Linked DNA regions of Arabidopsis thaliana. The protein of the gene in region 3 interacts with the protein of the main gene of each other region in a pairwise test. Each region holds a gene or a part of one and is shown on either strand. Other genes may lie near its edges. The genes, in order: AT1G22190, AT3G51470, ATHB13 and AT5G25475.

What was found.
Region 1: the proteins of ATHB13 (region 3) and AT1G22190 interact in a two-hybrid assay, tested with the Arabidopsis thaliana proteins (one large-scale study listed by BioGRID).
Region 2: the proteins of ATHB13 (region 3) and AT3G51470 interact in a two-hybrid assay, tested with the Arabidopsis thaliana proteins (one large-scale study listed by BioGRID).
Region 4: the proteins of ATHB13 (region 3) and AT5G25475 interact in a two-hybrid assay, tested with the Arabidopsis thaliana proteins (one large-scale study listed by BioGRID).

The regions. Positions count from the first base shown.
Region 1 is NC_003070.9:7,832,295-7,840,330, forward strand, and holds AT1G22190 (Integrase-type DNA-binding superfamily protein), read left to right. Parts: upstream 1-3,486; 5' UTR 3,487-3,950; coding exon 3,951-4,736; 3' UTR 4,737-5,117; downstream 5,118-8,036. Other genes in the region: AT1G22200 (Endoplasmic reticulum vesicle transporter protein), read right to left, coding at 5,563-5,654, 5,754-5,820, 5,918-6,010, 6,099-6,152, 6,398-6,449, 6,539-6,606, 6,692-6,871, 7,057-7,149 and 4 more.
Region 2 is NC_003074.8:19,095,432-19,103,285, forward strand, and holds AT3G51470 (Protein phosphatase 2C family protein), read right to left. Parts: upstream 3,845-7,854; 5' UTR 3,814-3,844; coding exon 3,667-3,813; exon of another isoform or gene 3,518-3,666; coding exon of another isoform or gene 3,503-3,517; coding exon 3,326-3,502; intron 3,255-3,325; coding exon 2,493-3,254; 3' UTR 2,291-2,492; downstream 1-2,290. Other genes in the region: RHD4 (Phosphoinositide phosphatase family protein), read left to right, coding at 74-144, 230-328, 426-525, 608-716, 809-881, 1,005-1,098, 1,241-1,333, 1,427-1,493 and 1 more; GLR3.6 (glutamate receptor 3.6), read left to right, coding at 5,825-6,083, 6,367-7,682, 7,781-7,854.
Region 3 is NC_003070.9:26,254,807-26,263,219, reverse strand, and holds ATHB13 (Homeobox-leucine zipper protein family), read right to left. Parts: upstream 4,433-8,413; 5' UTR 4,055-4,432; coding exon 3,919-4,054; intron 3,838-3,918; coding exon 3,455-3,837; intron 3,121-3,454; coding exon 2,755-3,120; 3' UTR 2,439-2,754; downstream 1-2,438. UniProt on the Arabidopsis thaliana protein: Probable transcription factor that may act in the sucrose-signaling pathway.
Region 4 is NC_003076.8:8,865,605-8,873,902, forward strand, and holds AT5G25475 (AP2/B3-like transcriptional factor family protein), read right to left. Parts: upstream 4,218-8,298; 5' UTR 4,107-4,217; exon of another isoform or gene 3,914-4,106; 5' UTR 3,889-3,913; coding exon 3,787-3,888; intron 3,477-3,786; coding exon 3,426-3,476; intron 3,327-3,425; coding exon 2,885-3,326; intron 2,788-2,884; coding exon 2,663-2,787; intron 2,571-2,662; coding exon 2,316-2,570; 3' UTR 2,193-2,315; downstream 1-2,192. Other genes in the region: AT5G25470 (AP2/B3-like transcriptional factor family protein), read right to left, coding at 250-507, 614-735, 848-1,208, 1,529-1,630; DNMT2 (DNA methyltransferase-2), read right to left, coding at 4,465-4,537, 4,745-4,809, 4,904-4,969, 5,059-5,478, 5,686-5,808, 5,909-6,027, 6,104-6,197, 6,321-6,431 and 1 more.

The DNA.
Region 1 (8,036 bases), about 18 Mb from region 3:
ACGACATAATCACATAAGCTTTGTATAATAAATAGTCTGCAATGGCCATATGTCATGCAAAAATTAACGGAGACAATTCACCTAAAATCCACATGCAATTCCTCTTTCCCTCGTAGAACAACGTGCAACTGATCGAAAAACAACGACACCCTCCTTTCGATATCACCAAAGGAAAAATAAATTAGCAAATCTATTTTTCTCTACTTTCACTTCACCCAATACACGCATTTTCACATGCATTTGTATTTTACCAACTTGTTCTACTACTACTATATTTCTCATCTTATGCATTAATATAAATTAAAATTAGGTGAGTATATTTCTCATTTTACGTATTAGTGTTAATTAAATTAGGTGAGAAAATACAATTGTAAACTAGTAAGATCATTCAAAGTCAAGAGGTCAAAAAGACACGTGGAGTTTAATAAGCCTTTTAAGGTGAGCTAGTCAGATAAACAGTACAAAATGGACCTTTGAGGGTGAACACGTGGCAGATTCGCAACGGTTGTTTGACTTCGACAGATAAAACGGACGCGTTTGACGGAAACCGCGTTATGAGCATTAAATTGCAAAAGTTCATACCAAAAGCAAAAATCCAATCAGATCCACCTTCTTTTCTTTTCTTTTCTTTTCGACCAAATTAGTCACAAATCGGATCTACCTTTTTTCTTTACGATTTACAAATATTTCTCAAAAATCCTAAAAATGACATGTATGTACTATTATATTACTTGATTTAGATGCAGTGAATCTAGCTATCAAACAACTACTTTTATAGACAAGTTAAGGAACAACAATGCAAAAATGTCAGTCATTTCATTTGCCCCCAATAAAAAAAAAATGTCAGAGAACTTGAGAGTACACTAATAAAGTATTATTGTTTAAATAAACTAGATGAACACCCATGCTACGCATCGATTTTTGTTTTTAAAATTGTCGGAAAAATATGATTATGGTTTTTTGTTGATTTTGATGTTCATTTTGATTGTTTGACAAAAAAAAAAGATGTTCATTTTGATAAATTCATCCATTTAATATAATTATTATTTTTTATGATTAGATTCATCTATAACTCAAAATATCAATTCAACTACAATATGAATATTTATATATTTATTATTCTAATATTTCACTATCATGATCACATACTATAACAGTAAATGATATACTGATATAAGTAGTTATATTACTTATGTATTTTAAAACTTGTCTAACTTAATTGTAACAAACAATTCTTTATTCCATATATTATCTCGTTATCTAGTACACAATCACATCCTGATATGCTAGTAATTTAAGTCAACATTTTAATTCTTATCCCTACCATATAATCATATAAAGTCACATGTTGTTGTTTTTTTGGTATGTCTAATGTCTAGGATGACTATTACGTGAAAAAATTATATATCAATGTTACAAAATTATCTTAACACACAAAATGTACCGAAAGAAGTTCATATGATAAATCAAATTCACAAAATATAATAATAATAAAATATTTAACTAAAATTACTAAATTAATATGAGGTTAGGTAGCAAACATCTAAACTACAACACAAGTAAATTTTTAGCCATTATAGATTAATGATTATTGATTAAATGTTTTTAATAAAATAAGTAGAATAAAATGAAAGTAGTGCTTGGTACATTATTATGACTTTTTATTTATCGAATGTTTTTTAGAAAATTCATTTAAGAGTGAGATTAACACAACAAAAGACTTTTAATTTTTTCTCAATTAGTTTTGCTAGTTTTTTTATTTAATTAATATAGAATGACACATGTCATTTTTTTGTGTGATGATGTATCATTTATATGGAGAGTGTAGGCCAATTTTCATATATATATGATTTTGAATAAAAAGAAAAATTCAAAAGGAGAAAAATAGGCAGCAAAAAGCTGTCAGTTATTACATACAGCTAAGACTTGAGTAATGATTTTGTAGTTGACTATTTCATTTCCCCTGTGGACACGCTCGGCTTACGGTTATGAAATCATGCGTTGGAGTTTTTCTTGCTTTTCCCTTTTCTCATGCGTAGAGTTTTTTTTCTTTCTTTACAATTTGTTTAACCATAGTTTTATAGGTTTGTAGCTATATGAGTGGTTAATTTATGGTCTAGCTAATTGGTCTTTTTCTTATTCAGTTTTTGCATTAAATGTAGATATCAATACTGAAAGTTGACTTTTATCAAAAATACATAACAAAGTATAAGAAAAATAACGCTTAGACAAGTTATTACACATATGCAATGTTCACCAAAGCAAGCAAGTACGAAATATACATGCATATGATAATACATGTAAACGAGATAAATCAGCATCGTAAAGATGAACTGGTAACACGGACACGAGCCATCCACATGGGTGGTACCTCCTTATGCGCGTCTTCCCTCAAAATATTGATCATTATAAAATGATGACACCATAGTCTAACCTTGCAAATTGACGCCGTATTGATTGTAGTGACATTTGTACACGATTACACGAAGCAATAAATTAAGTGATGCAACTCTATAAGATATCGTAAGATGATGAAATGTTTAATAAACTAATTAAATGGATGATATAATACGGAATTGACATTTGAGGAGTTCTCAGCCATTCATTCTAACCCTCTAGACCCTTCTTTTTTAATCTTGTATGATTTATTATCTAAATAAAAGTCTAAACCACTCATTAACATGATATCATCATTACATTGCGAGCCAAAATTATTGCTTAACAATCATGAAGTCTACGTGTGTCACATTCGGAACCTCCGAATAATTATTTTTATACTTTTTCGGTTTGATATACTTCAATATATACTATTAATTTGGATAATCTCATTCTTAATATTCTCTCAGTTCCATTTTATTGAAAATTTTCAGAAGTTTTGTTTTCGCATATATACAAAAGAATTCTAAATCTACTAGCTGGACTAGTGGACCAATTGTTGGACGCCTCTACCAAATAAATCGTAAAAATATGTTGATTTCAATTTTATCAATTTGGCTGGAATCGAAGTGCTCGTGTACATTAGTTTCAACCGCTTAGAAAGACGTCTAGCTAAATGAGTAGACAACCATTTTTTTAACTAATCTTTTAAAATTTATGGAGTTGTGTACGTCCACTCACTTCTATTTGAATAGAAAAAAGATTAATATGGTTATGGAAGAAACGTCCCATAAAGCCGGTGTGAATGTAATATAATGAAATGATTCTCCATCAAACTATGATTGTAAAATTAAAACGCTTCGATTATAGAATAAACTTGTAGAAACATTTTAACTTGTAAAAATTAACCATTCTAAAACAAAACTTGTTAAAACTCAACTTACAAACAATGTTTGATTGAAATTGAATATATATTATTTGGAGTACGTAAACATGGATGATCTTATCTGAAATAGTACATAAAATAACAAAAGAAAAAATTAATTAAACATATAAATTTGAGAAATATGAGGAGGATGGAAAAAAGAAGTCACGCCACGCCTCCTATATAAACAAGAGCCAAGCTAATGAGATAAGTGTATCGGTGAGGCTGAGAGTTATTCACTTACAAAAAAAAAAAAAAACTTGAGTGTAACCAAAAAAAAAAGTTGATATACTTTCTGGTTTTCTCCTTAACTTTTATTCTTTACAAATCCATCCCCCTTAGATCTGTTTATTTCCCGCTACTTTGATTCATTTCTGTTAGTAATCTGTCTTTCGTATAGAAGAAAACTGATTTCTTGGTTTGTATTTTCTTAAAGAGATCAATCTTTTTTTATTTTTGATCTTCTTGTGTTTTTTTTTCTTTGTAGAATTAATCGTTTGTGAGGGTATTTTTTTAATTCCCTCCTCTCAGAAATCTACACAGAGGTTTTTTATTTTATAAACCTCTTTTTCGATTTTCTTGAAAACAAAAAATCCTGTTCTTTACTTTTTTTACAAGAACAAGGGAAAAAAATTTCTTTTTATTAGAAATGACAACTTCTATGGATTTTTACAGTAACAAAACGTTTCAACAATCTGATCCATTCGGTGGTGAATTAATGGAAGCGCTTTTACCTTTTATCAAAAGCCCTTCCAACGATTCATCCGCGTTTGCGTTCTCTCTACCCGCTCCAATTTCATACGGGTCGGATCTCCACTCATTTTCTCACCATCTTAGTCCTAAACCGGTCTCAATGAAACAAACCGGTACTTCCGCGGCTAAACCGACGAAGCTATACAGAGGAGTGAGACAACGTCACTGGGGAAAATGGGTGGCTGAGATTCGTTTACCGAGGAATCGAACTCGACTTTGGCTCGGAACATTCGACACGGCGGAGGAAGCTGCTTTAGCTTATGACAAGGCGGCGTATAAGCTCCGAGGAGATTTTGCGCGGCTTAATTTCCCTGATCTCCGTCATAACGACGAGTATCAACCTCTTCAATCATCAGTCGACGCTAAGCTTGAAGCTATTTGTCAAAACTTAGCTGAGACGACGCAGAAACAGGTGAGATCAACGAAGAAGTCTTCTTCTCGGAAACGTTCATCAACCGTCGCAGTGAAACTACCGGAGGAGGACTACTCTAGCGCCGGATCTTCGCCGCTGTTAACGGAGAGTTATGGATCTGGTGGATCTTCTTCGCCGTTGTCGGAGCTGACGTTTGGTGATACGGAGGAGGAGATTCAGCCGCCGTGGAACGAGAACGCGTTGGAGAAGTATCCGTCGTACGAGATCGATTGGGATTCGATTCTTCAGTGTTCGAGTCTTGTAAATTAGATGTTGCCATAGGGGTATTTTAGGGACTTTAGAGCTCTCTGCGATGGAGTTTTTGGTCATTGCAGAGATTTTATTATTATTAAGGGGGTTTGTTATGTTAATATCAAATAAGTTTATCTACTTTGATGTTAATTAGTGTTAATCTCTGCGTCGGTCCAAGCTGTTTTTTTTTGGCATGCTTCGACCGTGTGAGATTTCTTATGTAATTTTTGTAGTTCCTTGATTTTCTTAGTTCAAGTTAAATTGGCACAAAAGAACAACGATCAAAGTAGAAGAAACTAAATTCCTTAACTATAAAAACTTGATTGGTATGAAACTGCAAAAACTCCTTCTAAATCTACAAAACATGTAACTCACTTCTCGTAATAACTAAATTCTGGAAGTGTTGCTTAGACTGTAAATGAGGAAGCATCCTGAATCAACTTTAGTGTATTTCAATCCATGGCTTTAAGCTAATCTAAGAAACCACTTTCTCTGATTATCAACAAACGTAGACACTTAAAAAAACAAGGCTTTAGTTTAATAACATAAAGCAAGATCGGTATCTTCAGATTTAGACTACACTTTAAACAAATGAGCTCAAATTAAATAGGAAAAATTAACATTCGTTTCAATCGGTGATAACAACATTTTACACTTTGTATGTTGCCTATGAAGAGATAGTGAATAGTGAAAGGCAAAGTTCAGATCCTGGAATATCTTACAGTACTACAAAATTCTTTAAATCATCGCATTGTCACAAATTCAAACCTAATGTCTAACTGTAAAACCCGTAGAGATGATTCTCCAGTAGCTGATCAAGAAAGTGTGGAGAATATCAAACAACTCAGTTGAATTTACCAATCTCCATTTTCTTCTTAATTGCTCGTTGTCCATGGTATATGAACGAATCTACTATTCCCGATACCGTGAAGATACCTGCAAATCAAAGGTATAATTTTAGTTTTGAATTTGATGATAAACATATCAGTAGGGTATGTTTAAATTGAATGGAGAAGGGATATATATATTGATTACCTCCTACTATAGCGCAAACATTTGTTAGGAAGTGCAAGAACTCCACATGTTGCTCCTCAAATATCACCTAGCCAACAATCAAAAGTTAAAATGTTTCTAGAGATATAGTCTCCGTTGGTATTAAGAACACGACTTGGAAAAAGAAAAAGAAAAAACGAACAGACCTTAATTGGCGATAGATCATAGTAGAAGAAAACACCAGGCGGAGATTGCATGCGACCTGCTTCCATGTTCTGGAAATGTTCTGTCACAGAGAACTGTTAAAAACAAAAACTCATAGGTTAGATTTTACAAGAAGAAAATGACAAAGATTTTTATATAGAGATTTGGGGATGTGGGATTTACCTGGTTTGACTGTATTGTATTCTGGTGAACATCGGTGTATATGCTTGGTACCACCTGAAATTCAACACCACAATCCATTCTTTATCCCTACGCTCAACAATCTTTCTAGCATGCAAAAGCTACCGATAAAGAAATTCTTATTGCATTGGTCAACAAGCATAATGTATTAATGTCTTTGTACTTCTCTATCAGTAACCTGAGCTAATAATGAGCCTTTTAGGAATCTCAAAATTTTGTACCTAAACTATTGTCCCAGGTGAGAGCATTGTCTATAGATATAATGTACAAATGAAGCAAACCTTGATGAAGTATTGATAGACGCCACTCTGTTTCCCCTGATTCCACTGCACACTGAGAGAACCAAGAGAATGTTTCAGAAGATAGGATTATTGAAAAAGCGATAACAGGTGCGAGTAATGGCTATATAATTGAGTTTTTACCCATCAAGAGGGTTCACTACACCGGGGAAAAAGTCTCCAAAGGCCAACCTGTTGACCTTGTGGCTAATCTGTGTAATGATATAATAGAGTCAAGACCCATTTGAAATATGAGCTTATAAAGAGAGAATGAAACAAAAATAAAACTTTTCTTACATTGTAGTTGCCTTGCTGGAACAATAACATATCATGAAATTGAAAACCGGATTGATGAAAGCTTTGCCCAGGAATGAAATGAAAGTTCCCAGCAACTTTGTTAACTTCCAAGAAACCGTGAACATTACAACCTTCACCTTCTTCATCTTTTACCTTTTGCACAAAGCCTTCTCTTTTACACTGAAATGAAATGATGAGTAAGAATATCATACAACTAGATGTGGGGATAGCTGAAACGAAAGACCAGATACCCATGGTTTCTTTAGATATATCCATTTTAGTGCCAAACAAGGTGTCACTATTTGTTTCAAACTAAGTACCAAGATCAACCCAATTTTGTTGTTAGTGAAGGAACGTCAGTATACCTGGTCGATTGATTCAGGGTCCGAGAGGGCCCAACCTTTCTTTCGGTAAGCTTCGCGAACTTCCTCACATGAATTACAACAAGCATCATCTGACTGTAACATGTAAGCAATGACAACCACAACATGTAACAAGGATAAAAAACATTTCACCACCATAGAAGAAACTAAAATGTAAATTAACTGAATCAACACTAAAGAACTCAGTTGAATATTCTCTACTGCAACTTAAAGTCCAATATCGCTTGTCAGAGCATATTCTTAGAATAATTTAGGGAAGCTTACCGCTTCTGCTCCAAAACAGGAACCACAGTATGTTTCATTGTGTTCCAACCTTCCACCATGTTTTTGTAAAGGTTTTTCAATCTATGGATAAACAATAACATTAGGTAATTAGAGACATAACGAAGCAAACAAGACAGAACTTCAACACTTTCAATCTCTTAAAACTTCTTGCAATGAGATCAGAGATGACACATGAAAATGAAAAATTTCAAAACCATAGAAAAACCAACCTTAGTATGACCAATTCCGTCTTGTTTTGCCTCGATGACATTGCCAGAAGAGTCTAATCTCCTTTTAATAATGTCATGTCGCTGCACCATACAAACGAACAGAATCCAAAATCAGACAAAGTAAACACACACATAATCTCAATTTGAAAAGAAAAAAACAAACGTAATGGAACAAAACAATTCACCAGGACATACCACATCAAGGTGCCTCTCCCCACTGATATCCATGGAATCAAGACTAATAATCGAACATTGAAGCGCAGGGAATGTAACATCAAACTACAAATCGTATATGACAAGTTATTAAAAGCACTCCCTTAAACAAAAACTAGTAAGCAAAAGAACAAAGTTTTACATTAATCCGTAGCTTCTCTCCTCTTGATGTATCAACACGAAGCTGAGTCTCAGTAACCGGGTGAATGTACAGCTCTAAACCAAACAAACCCACAAATAAAACAAAACAAAAAC
Region 2 (7,854 bases), on a different chromosome or scaffold from region 3:
TCACCTTGGTCTTTAAATTAATTGCATTGCATAAATCTACTCCAACTTTTTATTCCTTAATTTCTCTAATCAGCAAGGCGGTGAGGGGCGCTTATGCGAGAAGTATGCTACTGTTATGCAACACATTACTGGGGATGATATAAGGTAGTCAATCTGTTCGTCTAATGTGTTTCTTAGACAACTTGCTTATTGTTTTGCAACTCATTAAAGGAGGTTCCTTATCCTGTAGGTACCTGCACTTTGATTTCCATCAAATTTGTGGGCATATTCATTTTGAGCGCTTATCAATTCTGTACGAGCAGATCGAGGGTTTTCTCGAAAAGAATGGGTATGATTCTTTGTACATTTCTATTTATGTAATCTTGAAATCTGAATAATTATAAATAAAAAATGGCACGTCATTTTGCATTCTCTGAAATACGCAGGTACTTTCTGTTGAATGAAAAGGGTGAGAAAATGAAGGAGCAGCTTGGTGTTGTCCGATCAAACTGCATAGATTGCTTAGACCGTACAAATGTTACCCAGGTTAGCCATAAGAAAACTATGATGCAGCTAATATCATATTGGCCTTTGCTCATCCATGCTGCATACTTCCTGCCAAATGCAGAGCATGATAGGTCGAAAGATGTTAGAAGTTCAACTCAAAAGGATTGGAGTTTTTGGCGCTGAAGAAACCATAAGCTCACATCTGAATTTTGACGAACACTATAAAATATGTCAGTCTCTTACCTTTGTAGGAAATCTATTGTAGAACTTAGATGTAAAATTCCGAATTTATTCATGTTGCTTATGTGCTTTCGCCTTTCAGTATGGGCTAATCATGGTGATGAAATCAGCATTCAGTACTCTGGTACTCCTGCACTTAAAGGAGATTTCGTTAGGTACTTTTGCCATATGTTTAATCTTGGGTCTGAATAAGTCCTGGCTATAAAGCAATATAAGGGAGTGTTTTGTAGATTACTCTACATTGCAATCTAATGCGTCTCTAACCGGCTCAATTGTAGGTATGGGCATCGGACTGCCCATGGTGTCCTTAAAGATGGTTGGAGCTCCCTCAGACGCTATTACCTGAATAACTTTGCTGATGGAACTAAGCAGGTCAGTGAATTTTCATTCTCAGTAACTCTAGTTGTATCATCTAATAATGTTCAGTTGCAACTGTGTGCGACTACTTTTGGTGTCACTTACCCCTGTAACTGGAATGTGTCCTGACGCAAGTTAATATGGCTATGTGCAATAGGATGCAATTGATCTCTTGCAAGGGCACTACATAGTTGCTGTGAGCCGAGACATGGCTCCTGTACCTCAAAAGGGAGGCCTTGAGGCTGTAGCCGTAAGCATTTATCAATTAAGATTAGAACTAATTTCCACTATATTAGCATACAAAGAATTCTAGTCTTATAACAATGTAAATTTCATGTCTCAGAACTTCCCAGTGGCATTGTTCGTGGTTCTGATGAGTTTCTGGTTTGCAACAATGTCTCTAAAACAAAGTAAGTATGGTATTTCTTTTGCTGGATAGTTAAGATTTTCTTTCAAACTTAATCTGAAACTGTGTAAAATTTGCTGAGCAGCTGGGAGTGATTATAAGCATAAGCACTTGTTCTTCTCATTGTTGTGGACGGGAATTTGCGTGGGCATGGCTGCACTGGTGAGGGCCAATGGCAGGATCTTCTGTAACCGACCTCGTCTGCACAAGCCCAGAGGCTGATTCATTTCGTGAGATCAATTAATTAAAGACATGGAACTCAAGTCGGAGACAAAAGTTTTCTCCCTTCGATTGTTTTATTTTATTGTATCAAAATTGGACCTTGTGACACCATCTAGAGGCAATTGTCTCAGGTTTGGATCCCTCATGATTTAATACTCCCACAGCCATCAAATGACTCGATACAGTTACACATCTTTCTTCATGTTCATTCTATGATTACTCGGTCCGACAAATGGCTTTCTAAATCCCTACTTCTTGTTGAGTGATTCCATTGTAGAATTCATCATGAGGCATGATAGACCAATGGCAGACAAAGGAAGTGCATGTTCTAGGTTGTTTAGCCATAACCTATGCGCATCTTTGTTATTCAGGCTCAGTCCCTAGATGGTCAATCGTTATATTAGTGTTAGGATCCATTATTTTGTGGCAGATGCACATCTACCCTCTGTTAAATCTTTTCTACGGTTGTTTCTGAGAGATTGTGCTCCATTGTTGCTTGATCATTTTTTGGATATTTGGTAAGGATTCAAACAAACCAAAAAGAGGCCTCACAAGTTCAAGAAGCAGTTCAATGAGGCATTTTTAAATTATGAAACCAAATATTAATCATTTAAATATGGTTAAGATCTACAGTACAAAAAATGGAATCAATCAAAACTTGGAAAAACCAGAGAAAAAAGCACACAACCTTGAATATCTCTCTGACTTTCCTATCAAAAGAGGAAACAAAAAAAGAATAAAGTAACTCTTCTTACCTTTTTCCAACTTGCTCTCAGTTCCTTCACAACTCGTTCAAAACACCTTTGAGGAGATCCAATCCCTCTGCAGAGATGCTCCTCCTCTTATGCGACTTGGGAATCTCAATCCGAGGAGGCGCTTCGGGCGAGAAACAGACAACCACTACAGTAAGATTGTCACAGCTGTTTCGTTGAAGAGCCTCCTTAACCAAAGCTTGAGAGCATCTCTCAGGATCATTATGCTGCATCAGCTCCCTCCTCACCATCGTCACTGCACACTGGCTACTCATCACATCCCAGAGTCCATCACAGCCCATTATAAGATACTCATCCTCTTCCGTCAGCACAATCTCTTCCAGCTCAGGCTCGCAGCTGAGCGGGCAGAGTGAACCTTTAGTTCCCTTAATGTGCCAATCTCCTAAGGCTCGAGCCACAGATAGCTGCCCGTTAAGGTAACCATCGTAGATCACACCTCCAAGCTTCTCAATACGTAGCCGCTCGGAAGTACAGTTAGGTTTGTGGTCCTTTGATAACTCAATGGCTCTGCCTCGTTTCCCAAGCACCGCTCTGGAGTCACCAGCGTTTGCAATCAACATAGTCTTGTCCAAAATGAGAGCAGTGAGTGCAGTAGTGCCAGAGGATCTATCAAGAGAAGAAGCATCAGCCAAAGCATGATCAGTCTTCACAAAAGCACTCCTTGTTGCCTTCTTTGTGCTGGTTGGGAAATGTTTGTCTTCCATTACAAGCTTCATAATGTTCTTTTTTGTGAATGATGCAGCATCAACACCTCCGTGTCCATCAAACACCTTCATAAACAAACAATCATTTTAAAAAAGAGAACTTTTTTGAAATATTCGATGAAGCAAATCTTATATACCCCATAGAAAGCTCCAGTGGATGATCCAATATACTCAGTGAGATCATCAACACAAATGAATTCATCTTCCATTGATTGTTTTGGTCCTTTATCAGACCAACTTCCAGATCTAAACACAGGCTGGAATGTTGAATTTACTCCTTCCGGAGATTTTGCACCAAATCTCTCATCTCCTTCCTGCAAACAAATCATTTTCACATTGTAAGTTTCAAACTTTGGATTGTTTTTGAGTCACGAGATCCGATCTAAGCTACATTATCTTATCTGTTCGTGACCGTGCAATTACAATCACAAGCATTTGAATTTAAAAAAAAAAAAAAGCAAAGAAGAGATGAACCAACGTAATCGGTCAACCAGGCAGTGCTGTTGCAATGGCGCATTGCAGAGATGTTTCTTGGAGGTTTCCCAGAGGAACTGAGATTCGTCATTTTGTCATCTGCGACTTCCAATGTGTTGATCATCGGAGAAACTTCAGTCACCGGTGCCATTTCCAGATTCCGATCAAAAGCTTTCTTTTTTTGTCAGAGTCATCTCTTTTAAATTATAAAAATAGCTTCTTTCTTCTTCTTCCTCCTTATTTTACTCACCAATCAGCTCTCTGGATGCCACGTGTGCTTCCAATCTCCATATTTTTTTTTTAGTTTGAATATAAAAGAGAATTAAATCTTTTATTAGTTTCCCATTAGCGAAAGATGAAGATTGTGTCTGGGTTTTACTCTCAAGCAAACCCATTTCTTTTTGGTGGTGTCGTCGGAGTCTTTGTATCATTTTACTTAGAGAACCCTAATGGTACATTTTTTCATTTCTGCTCCGATTTTTGTTGGTTTGTTTGTTGCTATCTACTTTACAGAAAATGACAACATTTTTGTGAATTTCGGTCTCTATAGTGCTACAATTAGCCATTAAACAATTGCAAAAGCTCGCATTTGTAGGGGTATTAGATAGCAAAAAAAGTGTTGACTTGAGATGTTTGTTTATGCGCACTAACTCGATTGTGTAAAAGCTGAGTTTTTTTTCAAGTATCTATCATCTGAGTGGTCTTTTTGGTATTTGAAGGAGCTTCTGATTTTGATGTGGAAGTAATCATATGAGATTGATAGTAAGTTGGGGAGATATGAATTGATGGTTCCACTGAGACACAAGGATATGAGTGAGTGAGAGTTGAATCTGTGAACGAGTTATGGACTGTATGCTTATGACACTGTATGGCTGCTTGCTTACGCCATTGATGATTTTGAGAGCATCTTACAGGTTGACAGAATCGGCTTAACCGCTAGGATAAAGTTTACTAGAGACAGGAACCTTGTAAATCCAGCTTTTGATTTGCTTAATGTCATTGGCACTGGTTACAGGACCATTGGTTACTGGTATAATAATTTAGGCTTGTCTGTGACGCCGACTGACGAGCTGGAGAACACATCCTTTTCGGGACAGAAGCTTCATAGTGTTGTCTGGCCATGACAGAATTTGAACAATGGAAGGCATTTGAGGAGTGGAGTTCCAAATCGTTCCGAAGAGGTTGTCTCAGTCAAAAGCAACGGGATGATCTCTGGCTTCTGTGTTGATGTTTTCATTGCTGCTCTCAACTTATTACCTTATGCAGTCCCGTTTGAGCTTTTAGCTTTTGGGAGTGGTCATGACAATCCAAGCAACTCTGAGCTAGTGCGCTTGATAAGGACTGGGGTGAGTACATAAGCACTCTTTTAGAACTTGTTTTGATGATCCCTCTGTTAGCATAACTCAATAATAAGTATACCTCTTTGTTGATCAAAACTCTGTTTGTAAAATAGTAAATCATTTCGATTAATGAATATTTAAAGTTTAATATTTTATTAGTTTCTCTTCTTCTTTTTGTCACTTTCATCTTCCTCAGTCCTCACGCTTGTACATATTATACAGTAGACAAAAGCTTGAACGAAATATGAAGGTTGTGTCTGGCTTTTTGATCAACCTTTGAATCAATTTCCAAAACCCTTAAGGTATACACTTTTTTTTATCTCGGTCTCTATGGAAAAGCTTTGATTTTGTGAATCTGGGTTTCTTTCTTTCTACATTTAGCCAATTATCACTTTTTAGGGTATAGAAAGCCAAAAAAGGTGTTCACTTGAGAGTTTCTTTTTGCGCACTAACTTGATTGCGTGAAAGCTGAGATTTTTCATCTGAGTGGTATGTTTAGTATTTGAAGGAGCTTCTCACTGTGATGTGGAAGTAATCATATGAGATTAGAAGTGGGTTGGGGGAAATATGAAGGATTTGAGTGAGTGAGAGTTGAATCTGTGAGTACCATTACATAAAGAAGATCTCCACTTTACACCTACTATAATGGGCACTCAATTACTTCCTCCACCATTGCCTCATGCTTAGTGAGAGAAAGTGACAGGTCAAGCATCTTTCTTCCCTCAAACATTCTATATCTGCTCGTAATGGTGGCTAAATTCAGTGACTTGACCTTCCTCTCTTTTTTACTTTGTGAAACAGGAATCTCCTGAAATTGAGAAGATGAAGTGGTTTCTGCTTATGCTCATCATCTGCAATGCTGTTCCTTTACAAGGACTCACCAAAATTGTCTCTGCGAGACCCCAAGTTGTGAACATCGGTTCGGTTTTCACATTTAATTCTCTCATTGGTAAAGTCATCAAAGTTGCTATGGATGCTGCTGTTGAAGACGTCAATGCTAGCCCCAGCATTCTTAACACCACTACACTTAGGATCATCATGCATGACACCAAATACAATGGATTCATGAGCATCATGGAACGTAAGTGAGACAACTCTGTGATTATTGGATGATTATTATGTGTTTGTCTGTCGAGGTTCAATCATTTCCTTTTTATGTTTTGCTCACGGATTATTCGAAAGGTCTCTACTCCTCTGGTCTTCTTTACCTTTGAATCAACTTTTTATGCTCGCTGATTCATTTTCATGTCTTGGATTGTTCTGCTATCTACTTTAGGTTATGATACTGCAACATGCAAGTATACTCATGTCCATATTCTGGTATCCGGTTAACTGACTGATTGTTTTATGTATCATATTAAAAGCTCTGCAGTTCATGGAATCTGAGACAGTGGCCATAATTGGCCCTCAGAGATCTACGACCGCCCGTGTAGTAGCTCATGTTGCAACAGAACTAAAAATTCCTATACTATCCTTCTCTGCCACAGACCCTACTATGTCTCCTCTGCAGTTCCCTTTCTTCATCAGAACTTCACAAAATGATCTCTTTCAGATGGCCGCCATAGCAGATATTGTTCAATTCTATGGTTGGAGAGAGGTGGTAGCAATATACGGCGATGATGATTATGGCCGAAATGGGGTAGCTGCCTTGGGAGACAGGTTATCAGAGAAGCGCTGCAGAATCTCATACAAAGCAGCTTTGCCCCCCGCACCTACCAGAGAGAATATCACCGATTTGCTGATTAAGGTAGCTTTGAGTGAGTCAAGGATTATCGTCGTTCACGCTTCTTTCATCTGGGGCCTAGAGTTGTTCAATGTGGCTCGGAATCTTGGTATGATGAGCACTGGTTATGTGTGGATTGCTACCAACTGGCTTTCTACAATTATAGACACAGACTCTCCTCTCCCATTGGACACCATAAATAACATTCAAGGGGTCATTACACTGCGCCTGCACACTCCCAACTCTATCATGAAGCAGAACTTCGTTCAAAGGTGGCATAACTTAACTCATGTTGGACTTAGCACTTATGCACTGTATGCTTATGACACTGTCTGGCTGCTTGCTCAGGCGATTGATGATTTCTTCAAAAAAGGTGGAAACGTTTCCTTTTCGAAGAATCCGATTATATCTGAGCTTGGGGGTGGAAACTTGCACCTTGATGCTCTGAAAGTCTTTGATGGAGGAAAGATATTTCTTGAGAGCATCTTACAGGTTGATAGAATTGGCTTAACCGGTAGGATGAAGTTTACTAGTGACAGAAACCTTGTAAATCCAGCATTTGATGTGCTTAATGTCATTGGCACTGGTTACACGACTATTGGTTACTGGTTTAATCATTCAGGCTTGTCTGTGATGCCGGCTGACGAGATGGAGAACACATCTTTTTCGGGACAGAAGCTTCATAGTGTTGTCTGGCCAGGACATTCAATAAAAATACCACGTGGCTGGGTGTTCTCGAACAATGGAAGGCATTTGAGGATTGGAGTTCCAAATCGTTACAGGTTCGAAGAGGTAGTCTCAGTTAAAAGCAATGGGATGATCACTGGCTTCTGTGTGGATGTCTTCATTGCCGCTATTAACTTATTACCTTACGCAGTCCCATTTGAGCTTGTAGCTTTTGGGAATGGTCATGACAACCCAAGTAACTCTGAGCTTGTGCGCTTGATAACGACTGGGGTGAGTACATAAGCACTCTTTTAGAACCTGTTCTGTTGATGGCTCTGTTGGTGGGTGTGTATTTGACATATTTTGTGGCTCAAAAATCTTTTTCACAGGTCTATGATGCAGGTGTTGGTGATATCACCATCATAACAGAGAGAACCAAAATGGCAGATTTTACTCAGCCGTA
Region 3 (8,413 bases):
ATGGTATGGATATGGAATGTGTGTTAAAGTTCATGGTATGGATTTACGATCGTTTAAACAACTTCTTATAAAAAAAATTAATAAGGATATATTTATAATTTTCTATATGTGATGTTTAAGTATTCAAATCATGAGTGGACCAAGGTAGGGGTAAGATATAAATTATTAAATTTAAAGAACTTATAGCATAACTTGTAAATTTTGGTGTATTGACCCACTATAACCATGTTCGATACTCACATTTCAGTTAATAACTATTTTTTAATTAATACTCTCTCTATTTCAAAATGTAAGAGACATTTTTATTTTGTTTCATATTATAAGATGTTTTGCAAGGTTCTATACAAATTTAAATATATTTTTATTATTTTTAACTATTTATATGCTGTAATATTTTTTATGATTGGTTAGATTTGTTTTTATTAAATACAAATCATATTTTTTTTTTAAAAAAACTATCTAAATATTTGTATTTTTATCTTAAACATCTTATATTTTAAAGTAAAGGGATTAATAGTTATGTTGTATTTAACGAATTTTGGGGTCCGCCACTAATAGATTTTTTTTTGTTTTTTACCGGCACGGATAGAAATCTTATGACATATTCTATCCCAAAAGAAATAATCAGGCAACAAGCTTTTAACTACAAAAGTTCAAAAATATACGTACCCAATAACATTTATAACTAGATAGCAAACGTAAGGAATGTTTTACCACATGTACAATTCTATGATATAGGATTTTATCATACAGACACATGCACACAAGAAGTCATTTCCTAGTTGTACAATTTATAAGTATATTACGTGGAAGTGATAAGAGTGAGCATATAAGTGTAGTTGAAGCATCCAAGTTTACAAAGGGTCCATTAACCAAAAAAGCAAAGCAAACCAAACACGGTTAGCTAAAAAGAAAATTGTACTTTAGGAAAGAAGTGGGTGATTCTAGTGGGTCGCACCAACGCATTTCGTTTGATATGTTTTGTTTTGAATTCTTATAGTCATTTAGAGACTAGAGAGATCGTGTTGAACTAGAGCTACATAGTATCATTTGCAGTATTTTTTTTAGTTAACACCGAGTATCGAGATATTTTCTTATGGACCTTTGGGTTAACACCAATAATTTTCAACATGGGGGTTTGAACATGTTAACTGTTTTGATTTTTCAAATCTAATGAAAGTTAAAATATCCTTTGATTTTAATCTAATTTAGGATTCTATAACTGGCGACACTTCAGTTCTCTGGTTTTAAAAAGTTGGCAATTCACCACTAGTTCTTTAGAAGAAAAAATCAACGGTGTTCTAGCCTACAACCGCTTTTATATATGGCGATCAATTTTTTTGGTTCAACATCGTTGAAGCCAACATTGGCCTTAGTTTCTCCACATCTTTGGGTATTAAGCAACTTTTATTTATAGATTTTGTCGCATTCTTTTGTCGCTAGCATCTTTTAAAATTTTAATTGATTTTTTCTAATGATTGGTTCAATATTTTTTTTAATAAACATAGATTGTAAGTGAGATTTCAAATTTATCACCAAAAGGAAACATCGAATTCTTTAAGAAATTTCCAAAAGTTTAAAAGTGTCGGCCATTTGAATGTGGAAGATGAAAAGGAGTTAAAAAGGAGAAGAGTCGATTAAAAAGGAGAGTGACAACTTTCCAACCCCAAATTGTTTGCTTGCTTTCTTCCAACTCTCTTTGTCCTCTTCCTCTATCTCCCTTGGAATCTGTGTGCGTCTAATGTCTCTTGCTGCTTCTTTTACTCTCATCAAATCTATAATCTCTTCTACTTAAAATCCCATATTATCTTAAAGAAATTGAGGATATCTGATTTCTTAAAATATTTTTGTGTTGATGAACCAAGACTTCTAATGGGACTATGCATTTAATATATGTCATTGATAGATGAGTACTATTTTACACGGTGACACATTATTTTAATGCATGATATGTTACTTGATACCTCATCAATATTTCTGCGCGAGAACGAATGGCATTGTCATCAAACCGGACAACAAAGGTTTTCATCAAACCAAACTCTAATTTGCTGTCTTTTTTAATATAAAAACAAACTATAATTTGCTGATAGTGATGTTAGATTTTTTTTTCTTAAAAAAAAAAAAAAGACACACACGGTGAAATGAATAATGTAACTGTAGAATAAGAGAAGGGTTATGAAATTGATGGTCTGCGGCATCGTCAGATTTAAATATCGTACGTCTTTTGTAAGGTCTCGTGATTACAAATTTCACTCGTTTAGATTTTGTCCCATCATTTTTCTTTGGTCCTTTTAACCCGCTCGACCAAATCATGACATATGCAGAATTTATTTCATGGATTTAAACAAAAATAATGATTTGTTTCATGGAAAATGTCCTTTTCATTTGTGCTATTCCATTTATTTCTTCCCACTTCTGAATATGACGACTACGACCACATGGTGCCAGTACCCACGACTAAACTATATAATATACAATTTATTTTATTTTTCTCCATACAGAAAAATGTTGGGCCATAATGATATTATTTTTTATATAATATAATGGATATTACCCATTTTTTTACATCTCATTTACTCAAAAAGTAAACAAAAAACCTCAGTGGTGTTTGGTTGCAGATTTCAAAGTGAGCTAATGATATAGATTCCAGTTTTTGAAAACATGCATGGGTTCTTCTGATCAAAATTCCAAATACAAAAAAAAAAAATATAAATTTTTTTAAAAACAAAAACAAAAAAAACAGGTAGACCAATTTCAATTGTACTGTTGCTGATCAAGCCATGGCCAAAAACCAGAATGGTCATCCATTGCACAGAACATGTTACTGATACTATTCTCTTCTTTAACCATACTCTGTCCTGAAGATGAGTTTTGAAAGAACTGCATTGTTGTAGTAGTTGTCGTTGCGGTGGCTGGCGACGGTGGGAAGAAGTGTCGACCAACTGTCTGTGGTGGCGGTGGGTGGCCACCGGTTAATGTACTGTCGTTTGATGGCGGCGCAGTTGAGATATCTAGTCTGAGATTATCTGAACTGTTATCACTTCTGTTACTGCAAGATCCTTCAGTTTCTTTGTTTAGATTTATTGATTCTGTTTGTTCTCTGTTTTTTAATCCCATTATCTGCGTAATTAAAGACAAAATTTTAAACATAAACAGAGTTACTGTACAATGTGATAAGCATAAAGAAACTATTGTTTTCAGATCTCTTTCCAGACAAGAGTGAAGAAAAAAAGAGATAATGATGTCTGAAAAGTCATGAATCATGTCCAGTTTTTTAACCCTACCTGAAAGCAACTCCTGATCCAAATAATTATAAACCAGAAATATAATTTTTAACCTTTTTTAAAAAGAAAAAAATCATCCTTTAGATGGAAAATAACTGTAATTATTGATCATTAACCCAAAAAAAAATAACACATATTGATTTTTTTTGTTAATTTATGAGATTAATTACCTCAGCTTGGAGTTTCTGATTATGAGTTTGAAGAAGATCATTTTCAGCTTTAAGTGTATCAAACTGTCGTTTAAGAGTATCATAATCTTTCTCTAGCTGCTTTGTTTTCCAACGAGCTCTTCGATTTTGAAACCAAATCGCGATCTGTCTTGGTTGCAAACCTAAGGCACGAGCTAGCTGCATTTTCCTCTCTGGTTCAAGTTTGTTTCCAAGCTCAAAGTTCTTCTCTAGTGTCTTCACTTGTTCCATGTTCAATCTCCTCTTCTTCTCTCCCATTTGTGACCCATCATCTGAATAATCCTCTTCTCCATTCATATTGTTCCCTGTTTCTAAATCACAACACCCTTCCATTGGAGATCTCTTACCTAGAAACGAAGCAAATCCTGAAACAGAACAGAACAGAGCATTAGAAAGAGATAGAGAGAAAACAGAGGAGATGTGTGTGGAAGTTTATGTATATATACCATGGAGATCTTGAGGTAGAGAGCAAGAAGGAAGAAGAGGAGCAAGAGATGGAGATTGATGAGGATGATCATCTTCGTAAGAGGTTTGGATCATGAAATTTGAAGGGAAAAAAGACATTCCATTATTACAAGACATCTTCTTCTGTTTTGCAACAGAAGTTAGTACTGTTTGCTTGAGATTTTGGTCGTTTCTCTTTAGTTTTTTCTTCTTGCCAATCTTTGTCTTAAAGCCATTATCATGGTCTTATAAATCTGAAGCTCTTTGTGTGAGAGTTTGAAATCAAATGGAAAAAAAGAAGAAGAGGAAAAACAAAAGAGAGAGAGATAGTGAAATGTATCGGCCTAGACTATACCACTTCTGGTATTTAATTTCTTCTTTATTTCGTTTTATATAGAAAGGCTGAGAGAGAGAGAGAGAGGACATATGAGCTGAGAAGAGAAAGAGACGCACTCAATTGATTCTCTCGTTAAAAAAAATAAAAATAACACGATCAAATACAAGCTTAAACTTCATTTACGTTAAGCCAAAGTATATATAATTATTAACTCCAATTTTATCTTCATTTTCGACAATCGTTTATAGATAGATATTTTTTTAACCATTGTTGGCTTCCAAGTAAAAGTGGGATCCAATTTAATTTACCCTGGTATATACTTACTCTTTAGTCTTTAGGATAGTGGATTATTGTGTGGTGCGCTGAGATTCATCTATAAATAAAATTTGCATCAGACCACAACAAAAGACACAGTTTGAACTTTGAATATGATATTGAGGTGTAATATCTACTTTTAGTTGGAGATAGAACAAAAAAAATGGGGTTAAAAAATAAATAAATGTAATTGCAGATTAAAAATCGTAGAATTGACCAAAACATGTAATCTTAGTGTTTTCGTTGTGTTATTACTCATATCAAATTGGCATAATCCTAAATATTGTTGAAAATGAAAAAAGGAAGCAAATTACAAGGGGGTTTAGCTTGCGTACAAAGTGGAAAATGAAGAGATGATAATCAAAATGGTAAGAAGAGAAAGGACTCTTCTTTTTCCCCTTGGGAGAGACATGCAGAGAGGTGTTCTCTCTCACTCATCATACTTGTCCTTTAAATTTTATCTAATAACTTTTTCTTTTATTAGATTTGTCCTTTTTTTTGTAAGTCCAATTCTCATCTTAAATCATAACTATCAAAGTTGTGTCTCTCTCTCTCTTTTTATCATCTAAATTTATTTCTAAAGAACTTAATTTACAATTTATTTTTCGCTAAATCATTTGCATAGGCTGAGAACATATGTAATAAGTAGCTAACTAACGCCTTTCATACTTCTATTGATGTAAATTAATTTCATATATATAATGATGTAGTGATATTGGGGTAGGGACGAAGCTGGATAGTGAATGGGTCCAATGTTGATCCTATTTAATCACGCTAGTACGTATGGACTATATATAGACCCATCAAATAATCGTATTGTGTCTACATGGATTGACCTAGACCTGTGGATCTAGGGATTGTACATAATTTTATTTTATTTTTTGTGGGAAGAAGAGAGAAGTGATATTATTGATTTTCAGATGTTCTATGATGCTAGTTTTGATTATTTTGATGTGAAAAAGGAAGATTGAAATATTTAACAAAAGAAGAAGATAATAGCTGCACTTGTAAACCATAGTATAACTGTGATTTTTTTTTTAGTCGGATATATAGTTACTTTAAATTTGTTCGTTTTCATTCTTCAAATAAAAACGATTGCGGGTGAATTGGAAAGATCAAGGCAGTCAGAATAACATCAGAGTTCATAAGAAAATATATTATTTTAGGTGTCCGTCTTACACCACCCACCTTATCTAATACGGTCTTCATTCAGAACCTTAGTTTAATCTTTTAGTTCAGAATATGGAACGTATATAGTTAATCTTTATAGGTAACTGCTAAAGTCTATCGCTAAAAAGGTGAAAAAGTAGAAATTAAACTAACAAAATATAGTAGTGTAGAATTTCTCTATATGTATTGTTACTTCGTTTTTATTTAGAATTCATCATTTTTGTATGAAATTAAAGTTCAATAAGTCTAAAAAGTATGATCGGTCCAAACATAATTGAAATTTGGTCTGAAATAGAATGGAAAAGCAATCACCATCTCAAAATAGCGTTTAAACGAAAAAATTATATTGAAACTGTAAATAGACTTACAATATATACAAAAGCATGGATTATACGTATGTCCATGATCAACAATCTTGTAACATGTATTTGAAATTCTAGATCATGTCTATGAGAATCATGGTACATCAAATCTGATCTCATCAAACCTATTAGCTTTGACCTAACCTATCAACCGCAAGACAGATACCAAAACGAAACAAGAAATCAATTGACTACTGGTAATGCTATATGTATATATGTAGAGTAATATTGATTGACCAATTACAAAAAAGTTATACAATTAGCAAAATAACAATAATAGGAATAATCAATAAGTATCACAAAAGTAAAATTCTCGCTAAGAGAGAAGGGTTTCTCGTGCTATGTTGGCCGATTGATTGGTATCATATCAAATGGAAGTGATGCAAAAAATTCCAAATGCATTATATTAGAGAGTTACAAATATAAAATCTAATGATGCAATTTCTTAAAACCCTTTTGTTGTTTTCCATTTATTTAAAGTTCATATATATAACAGACCTGTTATATGTTAGATAGCTTATGTACACATGAATGCATATGTGCGTGTGTATATGCATGCATAGACAGACGTATAAAGATGGTGCGTGGGGTACTTAGGTTAAGGAAAAAACCAAACAAAACTACTATTTGATTAACCCCACATAAGAGCTGTTCTATCTTGTCTCTCCCTCCTTTCCTCTTCCATTCCTTTCCATAATCAATCTTTCTTTTTATTTTATTTTATTATTTTCTTAATTTCTCTTCCCAACATCCCTTGTGCCGTATTCATCGATGATGTTTACTCTAACATCATCAACCACATAATTATTAACATTTTAACGTTCATTTTCACTTTCGATTAGACTACTATTCATTACTTTGAGACTACTTATCCGTCTCTAACTGACATTTCACGCATCACATCGTGCCGTTCTGCAATCAAAACTTTTGTATCAAAGTACTTTTACTTATCCATGCATACATATAGCTTCACAAATACCCGAATATTTATTGAATGAGTATGATTTAATTTTTATTTTGTATGGAATGTGAATGACCCAAAAAGTTATTTTTTTTTTTGGTAAGGAAAGAGAAATTAAAGAAGTTATAAACAATCTGGTTTTTAGAAGACGAGTAAAAATTGTTAATTTCAACTAATTATTTTTAGTACTCAAGTATATATTATATTTATTGGCAAAACATAAAAGATGTAAACATCTAGATACATTTTAATCCATTCGAAGAACTTAACAAAAAAAAATTTCATACATTATATTACATTCGGTGTGGTACAGATCGCACGGTCAATCAATCTAAAGATCACTTGCGGTGATTGAGCGACGTTGTATGATTTTATCCATACTTCATATTGTTTACTGTTATGATCCATTCTTCACAAGATTGACTAGACGCGATATATGTGCACTCTTATCATCAAGAAGTGAAATATAGCGTATGATTAGATATGTGAATTTAAAGGCTAGTCTTACAAGTTGCTAGCGAATTTGGAAAACTTGTATAGTCGTTTTTTTTTTTCGGTATGATCACCCAACTTTGACGTATCTATTTCAGACACTATAAAAGCATATGTTTCGATTACTGTTTATCCAAATGGAAATGTCTCGCCCAAAACCTCAACATGAAAGTCAGGAAAGTCCAACAACGTAGTTTTCAAGAAGTCACAATATGTCCCTCCTCTCGTGTCACACCACTCCTAGTCCTAGCGAACTAGCTGCATAGTGTAAAATACTTTATATATGAAAAACTTAGACATAAATATATATATACGTGTGCGTGTGTGATGCATGTTTATTGTTTTTTATTCAGGCCTATATGCATTCTACATGTTTTAGATCAAGATGGTGATACAGAGACACTACTAATACAAACACTTGCATAAATCCTCTATGATTATGTCATTCGTATTCATTATTTTAAAAAGAAAATTTACGTCAATACTTGAAATACATTAATTGATATATGTTTTCCTAGTTTTGGAGAAAAGGGTGGTGTTCATATGTTGCAAAACACAAACATGTAAATACAGCAAAGAAGACATAGTGGACCCATGACAAGAAATAAGGCCCAAAAGTTGGGCTAATTTCAGCCATCACGACAAAGGCTACTTCTCATTTCGACATCCATATTATTCTATTCTTGTACACTTCTCTTTCATTCACTCGTCATTAATATGCCTTCAATCTAATATATTTAAGGACACAATTATACACACGTCCATATATAAACTTATATTGTTGCCTTGTTGGATATATATAAAAGTTATTGTAATTAGTAGTTACTAGTTAGAGTAATTTTCAGGTCTAATAGTGATGA
Region 4 (8,298 bases), on a different chromosome or scaffold from region 3:
TCTTATGTATCTAGGCCTTTTAATTTTTATGGAAGAGTTACAAAACTTACAATAAAGTTGTATGCATATTTTACTTCTCACGAGCATATAAGACTGAATCACAATCGAGCATTTCCAATGAAGTAACAGAAGCATAAGAAATTTAGCATTTAAGTTTTGTTAAAGCAACATAAGGGTCACATATAAACATTACAATAGTAAGTTTGGTAAACACGAATGTTAAAGAAAAGAGACTAGAGAGGACTCATCTCATGTTTTATTGATGAAGTGCACTCTAACAGCAGTAACCAGTTCTCCAGAGCGTTCAAGTTCACAAACCATAGAGTCTCCGGTTTTCAGATTGTACTTTCGACATAGGTCCACCCAGCCATTGAAACAAGGGGCACTGCCACCGCCATAGATCTTAGTGGAGCCATTTATTTTATCTCCGGGAAGAAGGTAATGCATGGGGGACAAATGGGGACCAAACTTCAAGCCATACTTCTTAATCACTGTTTTGGGCACATACTAGTTGCACATTGTACATGAGAAATAGAGAGAAAGATAAGTCTTAGATTTAGAGGCAACAAACGTAAACTAGAATCAAAACTGATGAAAACACTGCTCTTATTACCAAAACGTCATTCCCTTTTGTCAGCGTTTTCACAAAGTAAGGGTTTTTGGGGTTTAGAAGGTACAGCTCAGGGTTTTTGATATCAGCACAACCATGTGTCTCTCGCCAATTGTCTGAAAATTCTGCCAAAACAGAAACAAAAAGAAGCAAACTTTGGCATTGAGAGAAAAGAAAAGAGTAGTATTGAGTATGAAGAGCATCAAAACGATTCTTTCATTCTGAATATAGCCATACCAGAAGCAGAAGCAGAGGCAGAGGCAGTGGTTGTCTCCTTGTGAGAATTTTTTGGTGTAGTAGGATGAAATGGTTCAGTTTCAGGTTCAACTTCAGGAGGTGCATCGATGATCTCGTTCCCATCATTCTTAAAGATTTGCACTTCAAGAAACATCTTGTCATCGTGTCTGAAGAACACGTTATCATTTGGGCCTAAATGGTTGTCATCCACAAACTCATCCCAATCTTCTTCTATCATAAACAGATCTTTTTCTTCTCGCTCCAGCCAGAGTTGCCAAGAATTGCCCCAACGAACACTGAACACAACTCTGTGCTCAAAAGCCCCGGGCGTGCTTTTCACAAACTCTTCCGGAAAACTCCTCTTCATAAAGACAGAAATCATAACAGTTGACAACAACAAACGATACTGACATTAGAAGAAGGAAACATGAGACTAAAAGCTAAAATACAATCAGCAGAACACGAGCTTGTCAAGCAGAACAAGAAGCAGGAATCATTGTGCCATTAAAATCTCCTCAAATGTTTCTTGAAAGATCAAAAGCTTTTTCGAACAAGAACAACAAACGAACAATAGATCTTTAGAGCAAACAAAGAAGTTCAATGGAAATAACAGTGAGTACAAAATCAAAGGAGCTACATTTTCGAAAGATTAGAAAAGAAGAGAGACTAATTTTGTTTTACCATGGATTTAGATTTCCAGTTTTGTCCTGGAGACAGAGACTTCCAAAAGCAAGGCTTGCTCACATTTCCTTGTATCTTATCAGTAGCATTCCTAGGCAACATCTTGTTCTCTTCAAAAGCTGGATGGATTCGGCAAAATTAGGGTTCATAAACAAAGACGAAGATGACTTGCATGTAATGAAATCAGTGAAACAGTAAAACTGGATAAAAATTAAACCTTTAATGCGTTATCTCGCTTTTCTTACTTTCAGTAGCTAAACCCGAAAGTGTTACAAAGCAGAGAACACGAAAATGGTGACTAATGAGAGACACAGAGAAAAACGAAGAAAGAAGCAAAATTTGTACGGTCAAAGGGGAAAAAAACTTAGGTCAGAAGTCAGAACAAAGTAAATGCGTAAAAGGCAAGTAATTGCGTCAAAAGTAACGTCGCCGGAGCATGAAATTCACGCACCGTCGCAGTCGAAGAAGCTTCCTCTCGCTGCTGTGTCTGCTCTTCTCAGCCCTTGTTCTCCAAATCGAATCTCTCTGCTTTCAGAAAGAGAGGAGACTCAACAGTCAACAGCACTGTGACAAGTGTCAAATGTGTACTGTGTATGGAAATAATAAAATGGTCAAACAATATTATTGGGCCGGATATGGCCCATATTAGAAACTGGCCCATCATACTCTAGAATCGATTCGATTGCAAGTGAATTGACAAGTTTGTTAAACTAACACATAATTGACACATTTAGCATTGTTACAGAAAGTTGTAAATAACATATTGTTGTTACTAGAGAGGATTGGTCTAGTCTTTCTTGACGAAATGCACTCTTACAGCGGTAACCACACCACCGGAGCGTTCAAGTTCACAAACCACGGAGTCTCCGATATTCAGATTGTGCCTCCGACATAGAACCGACCAGCCACTGAAACAAGGTTTCCCGTTATAGATTCTATTCTCGCCTTCCTCTTTTTTCTCCCCGGGAAGAAGATAGGTAATGGTGGACTTAACGGGACCAAACTTCAAGCGATAGCTCTGAACCACCGGTCGGCTCACATACTTGCACATACAGCAGGAAACAAAGACAAGCTTTAGCTTTCTAGGCCACAAATGGAATAAAAAGCTGACAATGTAAACACTTGTATTATTACCAGAACGTCGTTCCTTTTTGTCACCGCTTGCACAAAGTAAGGGTTTTCAGGATTCAAGAGGTATCGCTCAGGGTTTTTGACATCACTAGAACGTTGTTTTCCTCGGCCATTTGTCCCTCCATTTGCTGAGAATTCCACCAAAACAGAATCCAATCAAACATTGGCATAGAGAACAAATGATAGTTTGGAGTTTGATGATTCTATCGATCTGAATAGCCTTACCAGAGCAGCCAGAGCCAGAGGCAAAGGAAGAGGCAGGGGTTGTCTCCTTGTGAGGTTTCTTGGGCGTAGGATGAAATGGTTCAGTTTCGGGTTCAACTCCAAGAGGTACATCAATGATCTCAACCCCATTATTCTTAAAGATTTGCACTTCAAGATTCATCGTCTCATCGTGTTTGATGAACAGATTATCATTTGGACCTAAATGATTGTCGTCTACAAACTCATTCCAATCTTCTTCTATCATAAACAGCTCGTTCTTCTCTCGCTCCAGCCAGAGTTGCCAGGAGTTTTCCCAACGAACACTAAACACCACTCTGTGCTCAAAAGCACCACGCGTTCTTCTCACAAAGTCTTCCGGAATTATCCTCTTAATAAACCCAGAAATCAACAAAACAATACTTACATTCAAAAGAGGAAACATGAGACTAAAAGTTATAACTTTCTACAGAAAAAACACAAGCAGCAAAAACACGAGCTTAAAAGATTGGATTGTAGGTCAAGAAATGCAGAGAAAAGGACTAGAACCAACACTAGCATAAACATGAGCTAAGGGCAAACGAAACCTGCGACGTAAAAGTACCCATAACGGTAGCTAAAACAGGTCAATAAGTAACAAAATGAAGACCAAGCAGCAAGAAGCAGAGGAGGCATTGTGCCATTAGAATGTCTCCAAAGTTTCTTAAAAGAAGAAAAGATCTGAACTTTTTCAAACAACAACAAACGGGTAGTTCTGTAATAACTTGTCTATAAAAGGGCTAAACTAAACATGAAAGGATTATCACATCTTACTGTTCTAGCAACAACATCCAAAGCTATAAACTTGTAACAAAGCAAATTCAATAGAAAGAGTCTAAGAACAGTGAGTAAATATCAAAGGAGGAGTGAGTCATAATTGAAGTTACCATGGATTTAGATTTCCAAGTTTGTCCTGGAGAGAGAGACTTCCAGAAGCAAGGCTTGCTCACATTTGCTTGGATCTTCTCAATAGCATTCTTAGGCAACATTTTTCTTTTCAAAGCTGGATCAGTTCTGCAAAATTAGGGTTTGTATGATGACCTACTTGCATTTGTTCATAAAATTAGAGCCAAAAAATTGGAAAAGTAAAAAAAGAACAAACACTTTGTACGTACAAGGAGGAACAAAATATCTCTGGTCGGAAAAAATGAAGAAAAGTGGCGAAGAAGCAAGTAATAACGTAAAAGTAACGTCCCTAACGACAAACCTTAGGTAGTACCGCCGGAGCGTGAACTTCACGCTCCGTCGCAGTTGAAGAAAACTTCCTCTCGCTGCGGCTGCTCAAATAATTTAAAGTGACTGAGAGAGAGAGAGAGACAGTCAAAAGACTCATGTCTCATGCCAATATTATGGTCACTTTTTACGGAAATTTGGGTAAGAAATTATGATTAACGGGCCGAATAAGGCCCATTTAAAATACTGGCCCATAAAGTTAAGGATCGATAACAAAACGTAAGTTCATCAGTTTGAACTTTATCAGTAAACAAAAAAGTAGTAGAAGCTTGTTCAGGAGAATAACTGATTCCGGTAATTGGTCGCGTCACTTAGTGCATCAAATTGTGTAGTCAAGAATCGAATAGATACCGAAGCAGAGGAGCCACCACTGCTACACTTAAACTGTTTCCAAGCATTGCGTATCTGCACAAAGAGGAGTTCATGAGATTCATGTTCTTGTGTTCAACTATTTCCACATTTCAAACAGGAAGTACGGGAGAAATAAGGGTATTATGGGTTAAATTCTATATTCGAATCAAAACGGTGCCTCTGTTATACTTGGATGCACATAATCTATATAGACAGTAGCTTTTTCTGGCTTAGATGGTGTTGACGGTATGAACAGCGTACCTTTGTCGAAGGCTTATGTGCTTGGGGAACTCAAAATCTTCAGGGAATGAGTGAAAGTTAGCTACCTAAACAAATAGAAACCGAACATCATCTTTCAATGAAATAAAGCTGACTTTTTCAGTGAGGCATTAGTAGTAAAAGTAAAGGACAGTGCTTAACCTCTCTAGGGGTGAAGTATCTAAGCCGTTGCTCCTTCAAACAAGATTCCTTACCCTTGATTTTTGGCTGCGTGATCACAGATTCACGATAAGCATTTCTTTTCACTTTGCAAATACAGAGGAAAGTAATATTGTATACTCCATGGAAGAACGTACCTGGACAGTTGCCAATAGGGAACCTGTGCCCTTCACGTATCGATAATAACTCTTTGTGAAACAACAACATCTCTTTGAATCAGGGTAAACAATGTCCATTGCGTTTCCCCATCTCTCTATCAAACTAACTGGTACTAGATACTGATGTACAGAGTCTGGGACAGAATCGCCTTCTTGTCCACAACAATCTTTGGACCCATTTTCAGAGTCATCAACACTACTTGGCTCGCCATCAACATGTGCAGCTAACTCGAGAAACTTCTCTACTGGTTTGCAAAACTCAAGTAATTTATCCAATCCTTCTTCTGCTTGACATTTTCCAAACTCAACCTGATCATCACGCCCATATAACGGGTCTGGAGACCAGAGTAGTTTGTTATTACTGTGTTGGGACTTAAATGGCAGAGGTTTTCTTTTGGCCTACAAAGACACCAGGTAAATCAAATGATTTCAAAGTTAGTGACGTTTTAACTAAAACAAAAAGATTAACGCATATACATGAGAAAGTGCACACTACATGAGAAAGTTTCATAATCAGCATATACTTATACATTCTCAGACTACTAAAATTAACAGTTTTAGGTACACAGATATGCACTACGCAATCATAAGGTAAAGAGAAAGTACCAGGCAGAAATAACGTGGTCTTGAATACGGCACACCAAACTGCAGCGGACTCAATATAAACTCTTGTGTGACATAATCTAATTTTGTTAATGTACCAATCATTTCCATATGTGTATCCGAAGTCTGCACCAACAAACACCACCAATAAGCAAAAATGTCACGACTTCAAAGAAGATGATCGAGAACAAGTACTCTAGCTGGGAAGCATAAGCAAACACTATACCTCAAATCCAACAACATTCTCTACAAATAACATTTGTGGAGGCTTTGTTGTATGCGGTATAAGCTCAAGAATCCTGAGAAACGAAAAAGCCCGAGCATCACCAGAGTGTTTCTGAAGGCCTAACCAAAAAAAAACTGTTAGTATCCAAAAGCAAGTCATGTTGATAGTAAAGAAAACAACAGTGAAATGAATCACCTTGTCTAGTATAAGGTTGACAAGGAGGAGAAAGAAGCCAAGCATCTGCATTATACTTATCTAAATCAGCAGCAGTGAGACTCTGAATATTCCCCTATGAAAAACAACCAAAACAATAAGAACTAATCATGGACTAAGTCACAGAACTAGCATCATCTATGATTTGCAAATGTAACAATGCTTCTATTGATTATATCATATATAAGCATTAAGCAACCTGATAGGGACGATGTTTGAAATTATGTTGATAAACATCATTAGCAGAATCATTGATCTCAAAAGCTTCTACTACTTCTGAGACGATGCCTGACGCCATTAAAGAGTATCTCTAAGAGCAAAAAGGAATTAGGGTTTATGAGACAGAGTAGACTTCACTAAAAACATAGAATTGGAGGTGAAGGAGACTGTTACCATTCCACCGATTCCACTGTAGAACTCGAGAACTTGCCATGGCTTCTTCTCATTGATTCTCTGTAATTCTTGTTCCGCCATGCTTCTTCTTCTGCTGCTGCTTAAGCAAAATTAATTTGGGAGTTTTTGGTTATTGTTCTTATTCGTTTGGGTAAATTAAACCGTTTTTTTATATTGTTCTGTTTAGTAATAGAACCATACCACGCTTGTTCGGTTTATTGTTAGAACCATGTTTTTTGTTTTTTGTCGTTTTTCTTTATTAATTAGCAAGAAAACCCTCAAACTAGCCAATATGTTTCAAAATAACCCTCAACTTACAAAAAATAAAAAACAATCCTTAACCAATTTTTGTTTTTTTTTTCGTTAACCAATTTTAGTTACCACTGTTTTATATATTAAGGTTAAGGATATGTTATTTTGGGGAATTACATGGCATATCAAACACTTTGCTTTTTAGTATGTGTGAAAGTATGTTGTGGGTTTTTTATGTCTAATCTTTCATTTCATGGGGATATAAAATTAGCTAACAATCAACAAATTAACAAACAAACAAAAAAGACTCTAGCTAACATTGATCTAGGCTGAATCTTTGGACCTTCTAGTGTTCTTCATGTTCATACTATATGAACTTTGATTCCACGTAGGTTTGTTTGGATGGTTTTAGTGAGATTGAAAAGGATTGATAGAAATATTTTATAAGTAATTCATAGTTAGAGTGAGGTACAAAGTTGATTTACAATAAAATTGAGAAAGACCCAAACTACAATCTAGAAATTTAGGAATTGATTTTTTTATTTCGATACGCGAACACGGAACCTACAAACACTATCTATTTGATCTCCATTCATATGCGAGGAATTAATTACTCTTGCATTATTGATCATATGTAAGTAGATAAATTAACTTTCTAAAAACATTTCGGTCGCCATCGTATTAGTTGAGATTTTTGATTACTACTTATGTAAGTGCGGATGAGGTAATAATAAAGTGCAGAAAGTAAAGAGATAAGAAATTTGTTAACGAGGTTCGGTTTTTCCTACTCCCCGGGACCACGTCCAGATTTCGATTTCACTAGAACAAGAAAGCAAATTACAATGAATTCGCAAACGCGTAAAACAAGCACACCCCTCTTGATTTACCGCTCCCTTCTATAAACGTGAAACCTTAAGGATAATCTCTACCCTTAACTAAACTCCCCTGAGTCTAGATTTAATCAGGATAACCTAACCCTGAGTTAAACTCCTTCTGAGCCTAGACTTCAATTCTCCAAGTCTCTGGAATAACCTTCACGCACCAACAAACAAGCTTGATCACACAAGCACCAAACCCGCGAAACTATGTCGCATAAAACCGTGAAACTATGTCGCACACACCCTTAGAAAGCTCTCAATGATTTGTCTTTATGTCTCAGCTCTCCTGCCTCTCCAAGACGTCCTACCTCCTCCTTATGTAGCCAAAACGATTTCCTAATCACCATAGGAGAAGATTTCCTTTTTCCATAAGAAAAAGTAAATTTACTCTTATCCTTTTTCTCATCAAACTCCACTTTCATCAAGTCTTCCAAATCTCTTTAAGTCCTTTTTCTTTTTTGATTCATCCTCTAAACACGCTCTTCTCAAATCTTCTAGAAACCGATACTCACACAAAACTGTCGCATCCTGAATTATTTCTTGAATCATTCAGCAATTTTATCAGATAAAATCATGTATTACTTCTTGTATCATTCAACACTTTCATCAGCAGCAGCTACATCTTCAACTTAGTCCTGTAATTTATTTTCTTAA